Linked DNA regions of Drosophila melanogaster. Changing the gene in region 1 together with any one later gene gives a genetic interaction. Each region holds a gene or a part of one and is shown on either strand. Other genes may lie near its edges. The genes, in order: sw, dar1, Dref and dop.

Region 1 (4,844 bases):
AGCAAGTCAGAAAAACTCTAAGGAGCATAGATCGTGTTGTGGATAGATATTGAGCAAACTACACAAATACATAATGTGAGTATATAGAGAAGTTCAGCATAGAGAGGTTTCAAGGTAATGGTAATATATAGGACTACGGGTATAGATACGCTTCTTACGAGTGGCACACAGACCGCTACGGAGGCTGAAAAGTTCTAAGTACGGAATTACGCATACAACGAGGACTACTCACCATAATAATCCGTAGCATGAGCTGCAGTTTTTTTTTCGTGCGTGCCAAAAACAGTTAAGAGGGAAGAAAGAGAAAGTAAATAGACAAATTATTAAATGCGCTCGAACGGTTTACACTCTAATGATCTATGGGTTCGGATGTGGACATGGATGGATGTGGATGGAAAGATTGATGCTGGACAGCGGTGGCCATGCGGAAATGAGTCGAGACTGCGGCGTTAATGAAGCGAAACAAGGCCAATTGGTGTAATGCTTAGTGCTACCAATAACCTTTACAAAAACGCGACAAAAATTAAAGTAATAATTATAAAAAGGCGTGTTTAAAGAGGGGATAAACATGACACATTGCGTTGCAGTACCATTTACAACCTATATTTTTAAAAGTTCGGATTGAAGTGTTCAGATAGTGTGCTGAATATTGCATAGTATACAAAATAGTGACGAATGGTTTTTGAAATCGTGTCTGAGCTTTTCCAGTTTCGAACATTTATAAAATAAACTAACAAAAACAATTGCTGGGATAGATGGGCTAAATTGAGAGCACTGAAGGAACCAAAAACCAATAATGCGGATTGACCAAATCAAGAGAAATCTGTCATAAGATGATCAATCGACCAGAAACTACGTTTCTTGGGCATTGCAACCAAATTGGGCCGAGGCAAAGCAAAAGGAAGCTGTCTAAATTCAAGCAGTTAAGTAGATAGTCCACCGAATTGTCTACGCATGTACGATGCTGACATCCTTCTGCCTGCAGAGCCTTACAGCAAATTTAGACTAAGTCGTGTGGGCGCTTCACATGGAGCTCTTCGTGTATTCACATGTGTATGCCGCTTCGTTTTGTCACAATAACTTTCGTGTGCTGATGTGTGATTAGGTGTGGAGTTTGCTTAAAATTAAGATTAGTACCTTTACGTGGACGCCACCAGTCCTCCATATATCCTGACAGAGGCGAGGAGTGGCAAGAAAGAACTGTATTTGTTATTTTATTTCACTATGGATTATGGTTTCTGTTTGCATCTTTGTTTTTTTTCTCTGCTGGGAGGGACGGGAGTTGGGGGCACTTGATGGGGAACAAAGCGCGGAAACAGGGTCAGCATGCAGCGGTGTAAGCTAGCACCAGACAGAAAGGGAGAGTTTGGAGCACAGACATGGACAGAGAGAGTGAGAGGGACAGATAGATACACTGCTCCTCCGGCGGACGGTGACGGAGTCTGGGAAACAGCAGGGAAGCCAAACACATTTAACAACGAGACCAAGAATAAGAACGGTAACAGTAGCGAGAGATGGAGTCAAACTATGGATAGTGGTTACGGTAGAGCCCAACCAGATCCCCGCCCCGGGGGCAATACGCACCATCGCCGTTTCCGCCTCCGGTACTGGTCGTCTGGGTCTGCTTTGTGTAGACCAGTGTCTCTTTTGGTGGAATGTTCGTAGCCTGCACATTGTAGACGCTTAGGTTGAGGGGCTGTTTCTTTCCGCCGCTGGTGGGGGGTGCACATAAGAAATTGGTATTAGTTAGGAATCGGTTAAATGGCAATAGCAATAGTACAATACATTGATCGTTAAAACTTAATCAGTACTAAGCCCATTGTCTAATCTGTGTAATACTAATTTTTAAAACGGCTAATGCTAAAATTGAATTGTAAAAATTGCCACGCTCTCTAACCAGGATTCCAATTTTGACTACTGATATTTTTTTATGTTAAGCTTGTAGATGGGGAATCTGTCTCTACAGTTGTTTAGCAAAAAAAACTTAGGGAATCAAATGTCTATACCTATATGACCTGAATATGTCTAATATGCCCTGCGAACTTCTGCTTAAGATGGTAATTCTACTCACAAAGCTTTTGCTATGAACTGGCTTACCTCTGGCCATTGACAGTGGCTTGGAGGCTGGCGTCGGGGGTCTGTGTGTTCGAGTTGTCCGAAGTCATCGAGTTGACGGAGGAGAGTGAGGAAAGGACCTCGGAGACGGGGGCCACGCCCAGCGATGACAGCATTTCGTCGAGATCCCTGAAAGAGGCGAACGAAAGTTGGATGATGGCGGTGCTGAGTCAGCTCTGAGGAGAAGCTTATGGCAAACCCACTTGCGCTGATCCTTGTCGATGCCTGCTCCGCCGCCAATGCGACCGGCCGCCTCCTCCATGTCCTTGATCTCCTTCTCGCGACGCCGGCGATCCTTCTCCTCGCGCAGGGCGGCCAACTTGGCCTTCTTGCGTTCCAGCTCAGCCTTGCGATCCATTTCTCGGGGCGATTAGCTGCTGCGATTTGCTGTTCGAGTGGGCGTTCGGTACGGGACTCTAGATCTCTGGCGGGCCAAGTTCTCTGCAAGGGGGATGCATGATTAATGGTCGCCAATATTGGTAGCTTTGATGATGTCACCAACTGCTGGCCAGAAGCAAAGAAAGTGGGTGCGCTGTGTGGTTCTCCACCGCTCGCTTGGCGTGGCGCAGCCAACTCATATGTTCTCCTATCGCCAAGTGGAGCACATTTCCCGGTAACCCAGTGAGTGGCCGTCACTTTACTTTCCTTTGCTCGGCCAAAAAAAAAAAATCAATAATCCAGCGATTGGACTGTGACGTCTTTTCGCCCTGGCTGCGTTTTTCAACTTCCTTCTCTCACTGCTCTTGTGATTTTTCCATGAAATGCACAAAAACCCACCTCTTGACTGTCTTTACTCGTTGTTCGGCTGCTTTTTAAGTACTTAAATCATCATTTTTCAACAATGTAAAAATGCGACTGACTTTTAATGTTTTGACTAACTAGAGATGGAACATCGCCCACGGCCAGTTACTTCGCACAGTTATTGGCACACGAAGGAGATAATGGGCGCGGCTGGTTTACATAGATGCCCAAAGGGTGTGGAAGACTAGGATTCTTAGCGGGATTCCGAATTCTTAATTAACACAAGTTTAAACACAAGAATAAGATTTTACTACTGTACGGCGATAGCTGTGAACAGCTGTCGTGACAGCGATAGTTCCAGTCTTTCCATGCACTAGCGCAGCGATCTGGCAGCACTACTGCGTTTAGCAGAACGCTGTTAGTTACAGTTACATTTCACATACACTGCAACACACTTTATATTTATTAATATTTATATTTATTTATGGAAGAAATCTACAAATCATGCTTAAATAGAGCTTCAAACTGAATATATATATATATATATATATATATATATTATATTATATATTATTAATTATTAATTATTAATTATTAATATTAATTATAAATATATTAGATTAATATATAATTATATTACCATAATTAATAATAGGTAAAAAGTATGTTAATACAGAGATATGCCGCATTTTAAAATTGTTATGTTATAGGTGGCTTACAGTTATCATAAAAAAGTTTTGCACACTCACACACATGCACTATGAAATATCAGTGTTGCTTTCTGAAGCGTAACTTTTAATTTATAGATTCAAGAGAGGTATCTGTAGGTAAATTCGAATTGATACACAGTACCTTAATGATAATACACTGATGTCCCATATGCATACAAAATTAAATAATCCTTTTAGGTCTAAAATTCAGCTAAAATTAATGCCCACAACCTGTGCATTTGTTTGATTAAAATGCTGAGTGTGAAGTACTACAAAATGTAAAAATTAATTAATTAAGAAAGGTAAGCAAGACTATTCTTGTAAAAAATTACCAATACCGCTGAAATTCCCATAGTGACTCAAAACTACTGAGCTTACAAAATACGTTCAGGGTTCTGAAAGTATGTACATACATACGTATGTACATATGTATGTAGATATGTCGTGTTTTAATTGCCCCTCCAAAGTGCCAATTACATTCAATGCGCGTCTTTGGGCCAGTGAAATCACCAGAACCCGCCGTGGAAATAGAAAGCGCACTTAGGCGATGTGTCTTTCCACAATGTATGCCATAATTTGTGCCACCAATGCCAGATGTTGCTGCAACGCGGGGCGCAAAGCGAATCCAACAGTAGTACGTGCCTTCGGTCGTATCTGAATGTATCCGAAAGTATCTGAAAGTATCTGAAAGATACCGTATCCAAAGTGCCAAGGAAGAGGTTTTCATGGGGTTAAAGCGCCCATGAAACTTTTGGGGATTTTATTTCGATTCGATTTGGCGCATCTGCACATCTGCACATCTGAATTTAAATGCCAGCATTCGACGACCCAAAAACTGTAGTCCGAGTTGCTCGTTTCGTAACCGCATTGATAAACCGGACTCGAACTGGAATCGCTCCGATGATCCCCCATGCTGCAGTAAAAACCTTGAATTGCCAAATCTTCGACTGCTCAACTTTTTGCTCCAGGCCGACAAATCTTGCACATGGGCGGGAGTTGGCAAACCGATGAGCGGATACTTAATATCTTCGCTTTTTCCCCGCGCTAATTGCCAGGCCAAACCTGTCGCACCGAAGTCGAGATGCCAGCGCGATTAGTTTACAAATTAATTTGCCAATTGAATTTCAGATTTAGACGTCTGGCCGGGCTTCCAAGAACCACCTCCACCTGGTTTCCACATGGGATCGGGCGAGAGTAAAAGTGTATTGTTAATTAGCCACTACACGCCGCCAACCTAAACTAGTTTCCCAGCCCGTCTGGTTTGGCCGCATCTCCGAT
Region 2 (4,623 bases), on another chromosome or scaffold:
GCTTGTATCTGCAGACGTCTGCGGTGGCATTAATGGCAAATTTGCACGAAGTCAATAGCGAAAGCCGGGGAATACTACAGTCAATTATCGGTGGCGTCGAATATGGACGAATGTATCTGCGAGTGTAGATACTTTCGTATCTGACCATGTATGTTGATGTTTTTGTTTTTCCACCTGCGTGTAGCGTTGTTGTTGTTTTTTCCACTTACTGCCACCGTGTACGCAAAAGTGTCTCGCTCTCTCTTTCTAACCGCATGCCCCGTCCCGCTCACTCGTTGTATCTTGTATCTCGTGTTTCTCGCTCTTTTTGTCGACCGCCGATTGGCTGACTTTTGAGTCTGCGCCGCTATCCGGAGAGGCCACACCTCTAAAAACCCCCTTAGAAAACCACGTTTGCGTGTTATTTCAGATACTTTTGGCCCCCCTGCACCAACCATTTTACCCCCCCGCGCGCGGAAAACATAAACTTGTGGCTCCCTAATGGCCAAAAATAAGGAAACCAGGGGGATGAGTCGAAATGAAAATGGCTTTTATGTGTGGCGTGCGTTGGGGTAATTTTATGATTCAGGGAATTACACAGGGAAATGACAGTCCTCGTTCTTCTTTTGCTTTCCACCTGGAATATGTAGATACAGATACCTTTTAATTGTCGCTCTATTGATTTCCCCCAAAGAAAGCACATAAGCTGACTTAATTTATGCTTTAATTCTATTTAATTATGTTTTTTTTTTACCATCTAAAACTGCATGAGGTCTATGAAAGATTCGCGTGTTAGCTGGACAGTTTTTATTTTGTTTAGGCTCTATCTAAAATGTGTCAAACTTAATGAACGGTGTAGTAAAGCGGTTTTAATGGGGGAGGTTCTGTTCGGGGATTATGCTTTGTATGTTTTTGATTTATTACTCCTTAAAGGCTACCAATTTTATACCTTAAGTTATAAAACTTATAAAAAAAGAACGAGGTCCTTAAAAAACACTCTGTCGTATAAAAGTTCTTTACGGAAATCAATTAAATCAAATCGAAGCCATATATGTAGATTTTATTTATATAAACATTTAATTGTAAAGTTTTGTAAATTTAAATGATATTCTAATTGATCGGATTATAATAAAATTATTACTCTAAAATTAATAATTTTTATTTATTTGTTACTGAATACTCCATAAGGGACTTATAAACTTTAATTTCTAACCTCCTTGCCCTATTTCGAGATCTTTTCTGAAGCGTGGTTACTTACTTTTTCACCCATTACCACCTCTACCGCAGGTCAAATCTAAAATGGCGAATCCCAGGCGGTTCATTCAATTAAAATCGATCGCAGCTCTTATACTCCAGTGTCTCCAATAAGATCAGCTGGCTGGAACACACCTGAGAGTCGGATATAAGAGCGACAGATCACCTGGGCCGAAAGTGGCGGAGAGCGGACCAGGTGAGCGGAACACCTGGTGAGCAGAGTATCCGACAGATACAGATACGAAAGGTGAGCGAGAGCGGCACAGAGCGGGCAGTGGAGGGTTAAGCGGCGGGGGTTAAGCGGCAGCTAGCTGACTGGCTTTCTGACTTTCGAGGCTCGTCTGCGCGAAACCCGCGCTCGTCCAATCAGTACGAACTCGGTTCCCGCCAGCGCAGTAACAACTTCGCCGACGAGCGCGTGAATCGCCTAAATATCCACTCAAGCAACACAGAAAATAAGTTATAAATTGAAACCCGCAAGTGCCTTACCATTATCTGTAGAATATTGCAACGAATTTACTGCCCATATATACAGCATATCGAGAGGAACAAGAGATACAGATACAAATAAGATACAAGCCGAAGCTCATCATCGAATGCGGAAGTGAGCGAAAGCCGCCGGCTTTTATTAATTTTGTGCAATTAACGCAAAGGATACAAAAAATCAGTGTGCAAACAAAGGGAAACAAAAGAGTGAGAGAAAGTGATCGAGTGCCTTCATTTGCATATCCTTGCAAATTAAATTAATTTAACAACAAATAACAAAAAGCAATTGAATAATAAGAAAACGTGCCGCAATGTCTGTTGCTCGCAGTGCCATGTCAAGCTGAAGTATTCAATAATAATCCCGAAATTCGATTCCGAATACGATTTTGAATTCGCATCCGAAATTGATTAATCACTGTGCCTTGAACTGATCGTGACTCGTGAGTCAGAGCAGCGCCATTTAATTGTCCGCAAACACAAAAGTACGGAGCCCAGTTGCAAATTGTCGGGTTAAATATTGGTAGAATATCGGTAGAATCGGTGGCATCCCCTCCCCCGCCAGGCATTCCACCTGGCCAACAGTCGAGTGAAGGAGCTTCATGCGAAAAACGCCGCTTAAATGCATACGGATATCATAATTGGTGATCAGTTTGCCGCCAACAATAACTACTGGGTGATGCAGGTGAGTTCGGTTACTAGAATATTTAATTAAAGGCTACTTAAGACATTCTGGAAATTCCAGCGAAAAGATCTAGAAAACTTGATCTTTTGTAATAAATAAAATCCAAATAGCAGATAGATATTTTCTATCAAATAAAAGGCAGTGTCGAAATTTCAAATATCAATCACTTAAATAAAATTCCCTAGCTTGATCAACATTCAAATGGAAATATATCCAACTATTATAGAAAGAATATGTGTGTCTTTAAACAAGGATGAACACATCACAAAGCGTTTAAATATCGTAATCATTAGCCAATTAATTTGCAATCACAGGTTCCTTGTCAAACCCAATTCAAATGAAACAAAAAAAACTTTACGTACCAAAGTGCGCTAATTAAGCCGCTTTTATTGCAAATTAATTTTAGCCAAATTTGACAACAATAAGCGAGCACACAACAAATACGAGAGCTTACAAATCACATGAAAAACACCTTAAGCCCAACAACTTCCGCTTATCAAAATGCAAATCTTGAACAGACCAGATTTTTGACGATTTTTGTACGAATTCGAGTACGAGTATAAATAAAACGCACGCGGCAATCACAAATTACAATAAAACCGAAAACAAATTAGCTCAATTATCGATTGAGATGAGGAGTTGGACTGCGTAATTTTTGAGTGTTCTCGAGTGTGTTTCGACAGAGATTAACACCTTGGATTTCCTCAGGTGTTCCTTCGGTTCCTTCGCCGTTTTTTCCCCATTTTTGTTTTTTTTTGTTTGTCAAATGCGACAATCGATTTGTAAATCTTGTTATCACCTGCAGGAACTCTCGGCTCTTAAAGCCGTTCTCAAATACACGGTCGGTTAACTCTTTTGAACTCATCCACACTTTTCACGCGTTCCGCAGGGAAACTGTGGCGATCACAGTCCATCCGATGCGATCCGATCCGCACTCCTCCTTTCGATATCCATGTTTGCAGCCTGTTTTTCTGTTTTCCCGGCTTGTTTGCCTCAATTGTTTGACTCGCGCTTACTTGCGAAGCTCTGGGTAAATATTTGCCCCCAACACTTTGCCAATGTGCCAAGTGTCCCCAACTGACTGACGAGATGGTTTCAACACGGTTCCTACCCGGGAATATATACATATAGCTATAGCCTGATCATCGACTGGGTGGCATTGATCGATGGTATTGGATAGTATGAGAACATAATTACAAACGGCAAGGGTACATACGTATGAGTAATATGTCTTTCCGAGGAACTGTTTATCCTGTTTATTGCTGAATGTCAATAAATACTTTAGAGTGAAACTGATCGCACAGATTGTGGTTATTAAAGTTATCGAGTATAGGTTAAGTTTTTAGGCCATACTCATTTACCATGAATTAATTTTTCAAAGTATACGTACTTTTTTATTACCAATAATCTTGAGCCTTGATTATCTTTCTTATAAATTTTATGATGTGTAGGCTATCTTCCTAAATTTTCCTATCATTCCCTGTCTTATTGCCTTATCTCAACATTTTACAACCGTTGGTCTACCAGCCTTACGCCCATTGATAAGTTCAGTTTCCCGCAGAAAGTCTAGCCTTGCTCAACAAAAGCTCTGTGTTAAGTGCCTCCAGCTGCCCTCCTCAGAACACTTCCTTCCCCCAGAGATAAGGATCGAACTCCGGGAACCTCAGCGAAACAGATATACATACATAGGTACAGACGAAGAAACCCGAGACATTGGCGATTCCGGGTAAAAAGGCATCGTAAAAGAGCTGGGTGTTCGACAAGTGTGTTGTGCTTGTTCCGCCTGTCACCATCAATAGCTGCACTAATTAGGCATGTGTTGTCAAATATTTACACACAGTCGCAAAAGTACAAAGCGCTGTTGGCCCCCTTTGGCCCCCTGGAAGCCCCATCCACTTCCTCCAGATAGTGTAAGCTTTTGGGTGAGGGGGTGGACTTCTTCCGTTTTCCACTGATTTAACAGATATGATGAGATATGGTAAGGTAATTCCCACGACTCACGGCGATTATGACGAAAAACTTTCGTATTTTATGGCTCTAAACGAAATTAGTTTACGATCGCTTACAGGGAATTAGCTGCACTGAGTATAGAAGTATCCAAGTATCCGAGTATCTGCGTATCGAATACATTCAGTGAATAATGGAAGTAATCCAGCACGTAGCCAGGCGGTTATAGCGCCGACTTTTGCGGCTCTGATTAATGACCCTGAACCATTGTGCTT
Region 3 (5,430 bases), on another chromosome or scaffold:
TTCAGAGATCTCCTGCTGGCAGAGCAAGTTCTTCGATCTATTGGTTTCAGTCCTATTGGCAGTAATATCGCGGCTTTCGTGCCCTTCTTTTGTGAGGAATCCAGTTCGTGGGTCGGGTGCCTACGTCTAATTGGTGTGACCAGCCAATGCGAAATCCGAAATGACTAAAATACAGACTTCCTCCCGGTTTTATATTATTTAAAATTTTTACTATTTGTTTTATTTTAAAGTTTAAAAGCTATCAGTAAAAAAATTAACTTAATTAAAAAACAAATGTCGAAGATTATTTAGATTTTGTTTGTCGCAGACGAAAAATATGAAAATTTTCCGATGATTTAAAAAAGGGAAATTTCGAGGGCTGCAGAGTAAAAAAATAAAACATATTTTGAAAATTAAAGAAATATGTCAAATATATAAAGTAGCTAACTCCAAACCGACTACTAATTGTTTCGTAGTTCAGAAATTTTTTTAATACTGAATTAATTGTAAAATATCTAATTTTAGTTAGTTCAATAAAACAATTCACGAAAGTTAGATGCATTTTATTTATTTATAAGATTAAAATATCAATTATGTACAACTAAGTTAAGTATTTAATTAGTTCTCTTGAAATGGATATAAGGGGATTTACAAGTGAGCTTGATAAGCGTGATATTTTTTCGTTATGGATTTATTAAACAAATATTCTTAGATTATCTGTTTGATTTGAATATATGATGTCAAAATGTTCCCTTAACATTTATACGTCGATAACTTAAGATGTTCCGTGTACGTCCCAAGGCTGTCTTTTGGTTAAAAGTACTGCGGAATCGCTATTACTATTTGCCTCGCCCCTGGTAGTCATTTTCATATACACAAGATCGGATTACGTTAAAAGTAATTAAAAAGTATTTGCATTATAAGAAACAGTAGTCGCCAGTGCAGACTAATTGTTGTGATGATGAAGAAAGAGGATGGCGTCGATGTGACTACCGGTGAGCATGAATCGCTTGTTGAAGTCGTATATTTGGTCTCTCAGCGCCTTCTTGAAGCTGAGCGTCACCACGCCGGGCACACTATGGTACAGGCTGGCCAAATCGCGGAGCGTTCCATAAATGTGTCCCATCTTGAGCCACCACTCGATGGGCGACTCATCCAGCTGAACGACCACCTCGTTGCGATATCGCTTAAGATCGGACTCCACGCTGCTGTCCGCATCTCGCTTCGGAGGATTTGGTATCTCGTTACTGTCAAACAGCAGTTTCAGACCTACGGGCATTTTCGTTTAGTCCATGGTTTATGATAATCGATTTAGTTCGATGCACTTACCCAACTTCTTTGGTGCACTGCCGTCCACTACTCTTGGTTCTGACTTAATGGCCACCACGCTGGAGGTAGCTGCCACTTCGTTGGATTCCCCTTCGCCCACTCCACCAAAGTTAATGTTATACTTATGGGTCAGCATACGAACGGTTCGCTCTAGGTTGTCAATGGTGGTCAGGCGGTGGAAGCGTGGGTCCAACAATGCAGCAGCGGTCAGATTGTCATTGGATATAACGTGCGCCTGGAGGACACTGGAAATGGTCCGCTTCAAATTCATCATTAGGGGATCGTCCTGCTCGGCGATGCCCAACTTCTTGATAAGAATCTTTGAAGTGATTGGCGAAAGCATGCTACACAAGGGAATGTCTTCGCCACGCAGCGTGTCCAAAGCAATCTAAAAGATTTCACACAATAAGAAAACTGCTTAAACGTCTCATTTAGCTTGATGGCTTACCACCAGAGCACTCAGGGCCTCCGTCACCGTCTTGGCTGATATAACCAGGTGATCCATGTCCTCGGACCAAGATATGGACTCGGCAAAGAACTTCAATGTTTCGTACAGTGTCCAGGGGAAGTGCTCGTTGTACGTGGGCATGGGCACCTCGGACACCTTGGAGGCAATCTCCGTTGAATGACGCTGCATTAGGTCCTTCACCTGCTCCAATAAAGTGGCCACCTCTTCGATCTCAAACACACGACGCAAACATTTGTCAATTACCGAAACGTAGCACAGCGAAATGGGTATATCTGCAATAAAAGATTCATATTCATTAGGAAGTCCAATATTTGATATATATTCTATATAAGGTAAATAATTCTGACTTGCTAATGCACTCACTTTTCTCTCGCAGATAGGTGTGCAAAAGGTCCTCTTCCTCGTCGTAGTTTATGATGGCCAGTGTGCAATTGGCCAAATAGAAGTCGGTCAGCAGATCGTCAAAGACGATGTAGTCGTTGTACTCCACGGTGGCATACAGCATACCGCGAACTGAGTGCGTCTCCTCGTCCAGAAAGTGATGGAAGATGCTAAGGAAGCGCCGCTGTTCAACATTCACCCACATCTCAAAGGCGAGAGAGAAGGGCTTCTCGGAGGTGAAATCGCGCGTGATTTCGCCAATCTCCAGAAACTTGGAGGCGTGCATCTCATTGATCAAAGAGTCGATCTTGTGTGGCTCGGGCATGGCTGCCGAATTGCCTAGGACTTGACGCAGGAATTCACCAAAACCGGCATCGTACAGAGAATCCACATTGCGCAAATCCTTAATCACAATGTCCGTAAGGGCTTCGGCCAGATTGGCGATGTTCGCCACGGCGGCATAGCCGCCTTCCTCGTGCTTGATGACACGCCCGTGCATCAGGGCACTCGATGGAGTGGCCACTTTGCGTTTGCGTCCGTACTTTGGTTCCATAACTAGGCGCTCCTCCTCCTCTACCAGATTTTCGGCCTCGTCGTAGGTGAAGGGCACCATGGTCTCGTACAGCATGGTTTGCGAGGAGGCGTCCTCCTCCGCCTGCATGGCCGCAGTTGCCACGGCTGCTTCGTCCAGTTCATCATCGGAAGCGTTATCGTGGTTCCGGTTATTAATGAACTCCAGTTTGACCCGCCGCGAGGAAACATTCCGCTTGGACAGCGGTGGATGGGATACATTACGCGGCGTCTTGCGCGGCGGCACATGGATGTCGTGCTCCTGGCACAGCTCCTTGAACAGATCCTTGTGTCGGTGCTGGAGATGCGCACGCAAATTGGTGGTGTTGCCATGGTTGGTCAGCACCTTGTGACACTTAATGCAGACCACATTCTGTTTGGTAATCACCTCATTATTGTCGTTCGAGGGGAATCCAAAGTAGCGCCAGTATACGCTTTTCATCTTGGGCGAGTACAGTTTGGAAAAATTTAGCTGCGACACATCCTCGTACTTGAGTTCGCCAATGGCCACGGGCGACGCTGGTACCCCTTCGCTCATCTTGTCTTCTGTGGGGGATTGGGATCTTCTTGTTTGTTTTGAATTAGATTCGACAACGATTGCTGTGCCCAATGCGTGTATTAGCGCGCAATTTCTCGATTATAGATAGACGGTTCAATAGTCAATAGTTTTTTATCTGTATCAGAAGTACAGTTCAGAGTTGCCACGCGACACGCCGTCAATCGATAAGGCAATAAAACGTTGCTAAATGCTTCAAATGCACTCTCATTTATTTGAGATTATTTTTACAGACTGCTCAAATATGAGAGTCACCGCTTTTTAATTTCAATACGTCTGACTGTCGTAAAAAATGCGATTTGTTGAGTATTCTCGCTAACACTGATTGCATCACCAATCGATAGCTGGGGAAATTTCTCGCTCGGCCGGGGGAATTTCTCTAGGGAAATTTTCGCTTGGCCTACGACGTGAAGTTGGTTGCGATTTCCTTTTTAATTCGTTGTTGGGAAGAAAAGGTGTGTAAATTTCGTGAGCGTCACGAAATTCAATGAAAATAAAAGATAAACGAAATGCAAATCGAGCCATCGAGTGTGCCAAGTGTGGAGGACACAAGTGGGCATCATTGACACCCGTAGGCATGAAGAAGTGCTCGGAATTACGGCTTAAACAAATCGAAATTCGCCAGCCACGTGGGCCTGCAGCTTGGTTATCCCATATATACGAGTTTACAAAGAGACATTGATGTTATTATTGTGTTTTTGCCCTCGTTGCAGCCAATCTAAACCGCCAAGATGGGTAAGGGTAACAATATGATTCCGAATCAGCACTACCACAAGTGGTGGCAGCGGCATGTGAAGACCTGGTTCAACCAGCCGGCCCGCAAGGTCCGCAGGCATGCGAACCGCGTCAAGAAGGCTAAGGCCGTCTTCCCCCGCCCAGCCAGCGGTGCCCTGCGCCCTGTGGTTCGCTGCCCCACCATCCGCTACCACACCAAGCTGCGTGCCGGCCGTGGTTTCACCCTGGAGGAGCTGAAGGTAAGTGAAGCCGAAAACATTATCGGAATCCATTGGCCACTAACAAAATCTCTGTTTACAGGGTGCCGGCATTGGCGCCAACTTCGCCAAGACCATCGGCATTGCCGTCGACAGGAGGCGCAAGAACAAATCCCTGGAGTCCCGCCAGCGTAACATCCAGCGCCTCAAGGAGTACCGCAGCAAGTTGATCCTGTTCCCCATCAACGAGAAGAAGATCCGCGCCGGCGAGTCCTCTCTGGAGGAGTGCAAGCTGGCTACCCAGCTTAAGGGACCCGTCCTGCCCATCAAAAATGAGCAGCCCGCCGTGGTCGAGTTCCGTGAGGTGACCAAGGATGAGAAGAAGTTCAAGGCCTTCGCCACGCTGCGCAAGGTAAGTTTTTTGGTTTCGTGATCCGCCGGTAGCTCGTTATACTTATTCGCCGCCAAACTATATTTGCAGGCTCGCACTGATGCCCGTTTGGTCGGAATCCGCGCCAAGCGCGCCAAGGAGGCCGCTGAGAGCGAGGACGCCGCCAAGGGAGACCCCAAGAAGGCCAAGAAGTAAACCACATCTTAACCTGATCGTTCTGTCTACAACATCAACCAGAATAAAATCTTAGTTTTTCTTAAACGTGAATATTTGTGCACATTGTTGTTATTGTCGCGTCTGGCGTAAGACTTATCGATAACCCGTGTTGCTATCGATAAGTAGCTTTGGCGCGTTGAATTCAAACTGGCGCGTTTGTTTTTAGCTGCTGCATCCAAAAAAAGAAACGTATGTTGCTTGCCATTACTTTTTTATTTTTTCTTATTTTTACCAGCTTCTTAATTTATTTGGGTTAAATTATTAAAAAGTTAAATCTGTGGTGCCATATAGAAGATTTTCTTAGGATACGCATCTTGAGCAAACGAAAAGGTTGCAGAAGCTACGTTTCTTATTTTTTTAAATATCTTTTGTTGAAATGTTAATTACAATATATTGAATTTTTCATTAGAATGGTGTAGGGTAAAGATTAAACTAAACAACTGTATTTTATCTCTGCAGTAATATATTTGCAATACCTTTTAAGGTATTTATGCCTATGTACATATGTATGTACATATGCGCGTTTCACTATATCTGAAAATATTGAGTTTAAAATTGATAAGCTGAGTGAGTGAAGGGCTTCACTATCGCGTTTCATCTTTTTTTT
Region 4 (4,638 bases), on another chromosome or scaffold:
CATATGTATGCATATATACTTTCTTTTTTTTACGTTAAGTCATTTCATAAACAACATGAGGTTTTTTTATGTGGATGGCATAATCTCTTACCGCCGCTGACAGCGCGCAGCGAGTTGGTGTGCTGCTGATAGGAGATCTTCCGGAGCAGGGCGGTGTATCCCCTAGAGTGCAAAGAACTGGAGCTTCCGCTCAGACCGCCGGAGGAGCTCTTGGTCAGGTTCAGGTTGCGCATCATCGAGGAGCCGTTGGTGCTGTCGTTGCCGATGGATAACTTGGCCGGTGAGGTGGGCAGCAGCTCCAATCCGCTGCACGACTTGACGCTGCTGTTGCAGGACGACGATGCTGCCGCAAGTGCTGCTGCAGCGGCAGCCGCCTCCTGGTCGGAGTCGTCGAAGATGAGTACGCGTGCCGAGTAGCTCGATTGCGGGCGTATCCGCGACAGATTGGCCGTGCTCAAGTGCCGCTTGGGCACCGGACTGCCGCTCATGGTGGCTGTGGCTGTGGCCGTGGCGCCACTGCTACTCTCCGCGGATGCCGAGTCCGAGATGGACATGGCCTCGATCTCGCTTGCCACGCTCTGATTGATAAACTCCTGCTCCTGGTGCTCATCGTTTTTTTGCGGCGTTGAGGTGGATATCTTGCTGCCAAGGACAGCACTCACTGAGTGGTTGGACGATGTCGATGATGATGACGATGCAACTGGGCCGGTGGCTCCATCGGCTGGACGGGATGCAGCTCCCTCCTGGCGACTCATGATCGTGCTGGCTTCGCGTTCGCTCTGATCTTAGCAGGATCGCATGTTGTTATTTGTCTCCGGGGCTTTGTTGCTTCGACTTTTGGGCATGGCGTCGGCGGCTGCAATAAAAGCAATTAATTAGCATACGGCTGGCAAGGCGCTTCCCAGCTCTAAGTTCTCAGTTCTCAGTTAACAGCTCACTTCCTATCCCATCCCACACCATACCATCTCCGACATCCAGACGCTGGCAATTGCTTCCACACACAAACCCCTGGCTAATTAATCTCGTTGGGCTGTCACTTTGCACGAGCCTAACAGCTAATAATTATATATGTATAAATCGGTCAAAACTTGGATCGAAATATACTAATATGTAGTACATACTACACACATTCGGGAATATACGGGAAGCGATCGCCCACTTGGTTTTGGGTGATAGTCCAGAAATTCCACAATGAGCAAGTGCCTGCTGAATGGTTGAATCACAATGCTGTGCAGTGACAAGGGTGACACGGAAATCTCTTCCAACCGAAAATCAAGTACCGCTGACTCAGAGATCTATTTTAGTTGACTAAGAAGCCATTGTTTTGAGTCAACAACCTCACAAAATACAATGATTCTACCAATGCTCATATTCTGCATAAAAACTAATAATTGTAGATAGAAGCCGCTTGATCGTACCACTTTACTAATAGAAATTCTTAAATTATCGACCAATATCAAGCTCTAAATTGTTTGGCTGTTCGTACATTCTATTGAAATGACTACAAAACACAATTGGAATTGAGAAATTTCAGAAAGCTAAGTATCAACACAGTTTCTAATTTAGATGAAACTTTTCCAAATATTTGTATAGCGAATTTGACCGCTAGGAAATTTATAAACACACATCCATATGCTTTTATATGTTTACAAATATACATGGATTCAATAATAGTTTCTCAAGTTCATACTAATACATACATAAGTGTTCAAAATTTAAAAATTCCAAAAGACATTCAAATTTTTTCAATACTATGTGATGTGAAATTATTTCTTTTAAATCTTTGTGTGAAATTTCCACATTCTAAGACTTTCAATCTTGAAACATCATTAAGTACAACATTGTGAAATGCATTTAACAAATATAGTGGCAACGAAATAATATCACTTTAACATTGAAAACCTCATCTATTTTTTTCGAAATCTAAAAGCAAGTAAGTGCAGTAATGATCATTCCGAAATCGCCATATAGTTATTTAACAATTCAGTTAAATTTGATACTGATAAAAAGTTACTGCAGGCTGCATTTCTTTCTTGAATTGAACGGCTCGTTACACGTTTCGGTTGAGTTTATACACTCGAAATGCAAACCAAGAAACCCAGTTTCAGTTCCATTGTTTATCCTCCTCGCTGTTCGGAATAAAAGGCCACTAAATTATACGATTATCTGCAGGTGAGGAGCGGAGCAGAGCAGAGCAGAGCGGAATGGATGGGATACGATGGGTTGGGTTGGGATCGGATCTCGAGACGGCAAGGGGCTAACAGCTGTGTGAGCGATATAAGCTATACGACACTATATGGCACGATCGTAAATGGTGCTCCGAGGTCTCCATGTAGACGTTGTCGTAGTCCGACGACTTCTGCGGTTATCAGTTTGTTTTCGTTTCGTTTCGTTTATTTTTGTGTGTTTGTTTAGTGGCATTTATTCACACACTGTGCGGATTGTACACTAGGTGCGCACACACACGGCCAACGGGGTGTATATTTGTTTAAATTTCGCCCACTCGAGGCGAGACGCGCGAGTTATTCACATGATAATTGGATTCGCAAATGCGACCACCGCTGTTTGCACGGATTTGATTATATTGTGTGGAGCGCCCAGAACAGCAGTCACAAAAAATAAATAATAAATAACCAAGGGCAAAGGATTTTCGAGACCAAATTAATTATGGCCAATAGGAAAAACAACAACAACAACTGCAGCCACAACAACAGCAAGTGGGGGCTTTGCATTGGTATGGGTAATGGTATAGCTGTGTATGTGTATGTGTATGTGTGGGGGCGGCGAAGGAGCCCCACACACACACAGCACACGAACACCCACAGACGTTGCGATTACGGGGTTTTTGGTACAATAAATTGTCAGTTTCTCACTGTTACATCGCTTAACACTCGATTTGGAACTTTACATTTCATACGCAGCATTTACGCTAAAGCAGACACACACACTCGCGTGCCTCGATCGCGATTTAAGGGGTATTACTAAATATTTTAACACCGAAAAAATCGTTGTAACAATATCAATCAGCCGAACGGTCACATTACTAGCGATGACCCCTGATGCTGCTCAAGTTATCGAATCACGGCAGTGGTGGCACTCCAATCTTAAGATTAATTTGCTATTGGCGGGGCGTTTGAAAATATAAATAACAACATTATGTAAAAGCAAATAAAAAAACCCGTTTCAGCTTTAAGAATTGAAGGTTGCGTCTTCAGTTACCAGCTGTTTTTGATCCAGAATATATAAGCAAATTATCGATTTTAAACAGTACTCTTCAGTGTGACCGAAGAAAAGCTATTCCACCTTGTTGAACTTTTTTCAAATATTTTCACACTAAATGTTTGGAAAATGAAAATAATTATTTATTTTTTAAAGTATGTGTAGGTACAGTTATGTAACATTGCAAAGTAAACATTTTTAATCATCAAGAAATTTACTTATTGTTAGAAAACAGGTGATCGAATACACTTTACTTCAAAAAAAAAAAAAAAACCAAAAATTTCATCAAAATAATAGCATTCGAGTTTTATTTCAAAAGGGAAAATTATTTCAATTTGTATTTATCAATGATAGAAGAACGTAAAAATTACAAAATATTAGGTACTAAAATAATACCAGAGGGATGTGATTTATGTCTAGTCATAAGCAACGAAATAAAAATTCATTTAGATTTCTAAATTTAAGCTTGAAAATGTTACGCTTATATTCCACAATTTCTATTTATTTCTAACGGATGAACTAGATGTTGTCTACCACTATCAATTTCAATGAATAGGACGCCGGGGACTTACATTTACTAACTTTATTTATTTATTATGACGCTTTTATAGAGAAAATGTAAATTTACCGGCCGTGCTTAGATTCTCCGTTATTTAGAATAATCAGAATAAAAGCAAATCTATCATTAATGAGAATACAATACAGTGTAACAATTCGTTAGCCATAGTTCATGTTTGTACTGTGCGAGGTCTGGTAGGCGCTGGATATGTTCTTTTGGGAGCTGGAGCTAGCACTGGACTGCTGCTGGTAGCCGGATGCCGGCGAGGAGTCCTCCTTGAGATGATCGTTCTCCTGGCACCACTCCACAAAGTCGTCTATTAGAACCGGCCAGGCGCCCTCCGAATCGTAGTTGCTCATCCGGTCGTCGATGTTGGTGGCAAAGTCGAGCAGCAGGTTCCACGTATCTCGCGAGATGGCCCGCTTGTGTTTCTCCTCGAGGAACTGGCACCAGATGTCCAAGAACTTGAAGCGCCCACTAAGAACGATGCACCAGTAGGCGATTGCCATTTCCAGGTCAATGCCCTTTTGCCCCGGATCCTTGGCGTAGTTGAAGGTAAAGTGGTAAAAGTCCTTGAACTTGCCGGCGTCGTTCAGCTCCTGCTCAAGGATGGGCAGCTTGGTCTTTAGCTTGTCGATGCTATCGATGCCCAGGTCGCACATGCCATTGATAAACTCATCACGCGAGAACTCGCACTGCACCTCGGCGTGGAATTTCCACGCTATGATCAGCACCAGTTTTGAGTCTGGCTTCAGGTCCAAGTCCTCCAGGAAGTGGATTACGCCCTGGGATCCGATCTTTAGGGGATCACTGGGATCCCGATAGCGCATGAATAGCTGCTCGATGCGCTTGCGATCCAA

The links.
Region 2: of sw (region 1) and dar1, changing one suppresses a phenotype caused by changing the other (phenotypic suppression), as found in Drosophila melanogaster (one study listed by BioGRID).
Region 3: of sw (region 1) and Dref, changing one suppresses a phenotype caused by changing the other (phenotypic suppression), as found in Drosophila melanogaster (one study listed by BioGRID).
Region 4: of sw (region 1) and dop, changing one enhances a phenotype caused by changing the other (phenotypic enhancement), as found in Drosophila melanogaster (one study listed by BioGRID).

What each region holds. Positions count from the first base shown.
Region 1 is NC_004354.4:20,233,191-20,238,034, forward strand, and holds the start of sw (short wing), read right to left. Parts: upstream 3,009-4,844; 5' UTR 2,893-3,008; intron 2,761-2,892; exon of another isoform or gene 2,614-2,760; intron 2,557-2,613; 5' UTR 2,474-2,556; coding exon 2,319-2,473; intron 2,245-2,318; coding exon 2,098-2,244; intron 1,713-2,097; coding exon 1,585-1,712; intron 1,201-1,584; coding exon 1,138-1,200; intron 254-1,137; coding exon 233-253; intron 1-232. UniProt on the Drosophila melanogaster protein: Acts as one of several non-catalytic accessory components of the cytoplasmic dynein 1 complex that are thought to be involved in linking dynein to cargos and to adapter proteins that regulate dynein function.
Region 2 is NT_037436.4:3,624,744-3,629,366, forward strand, and holds the start of dar1 (dendritic arbor reduction 1), read left to right. Parts: upstream 1-1,608; 5' UTR 1,609-2,338; coding exon 2,339-2,401; intron 2,402-4,623. UniProt on the Drosophila melanogaster protein: Transcriptional regulator which promotes dendrite growth by suppressing, either directly or indirectly, the expression of the microtubule-severing protein spas.
Region 3 is NT_033779.5:9,963,620-9,969,049, forward strand, and holds Dref (DNA replication-related element factor), read right to left. Parts: upstream 3,611-5,430; 5' UTR 3,267-3,610; coding exon 2,141-3,266; intron 2,050-2,140; coding exon 1,757-2,049; intron 1,697-1,756; coding exon 1,309-1,696; intron 1,249-1,308; coding exon 926-1,248; 3' UTR 528-925; downstream 1-527. Other genes in the region: RpL13 (ribosomal protein L13), read left to right, coding at 4,016-4,258, 4,320-4,628, 4,698-4,802.
Region 4 is NT_037436.4:15,564,424-15,569,061, reverse strand, and holds the start of dop (drop out), read right to left. Parts: upstream 3,050-4,638; 5' UTR 2,909-3,049; exon of another isoform or gene 2,263-2,908; intron 857-2,262; 5' UTR 756-856; coding exon 92-755; intron 1-91. Other genes in the region: SCCRO (squamous cell carcinoma-related oncogene), read right to left, coding at 3,937-4,638.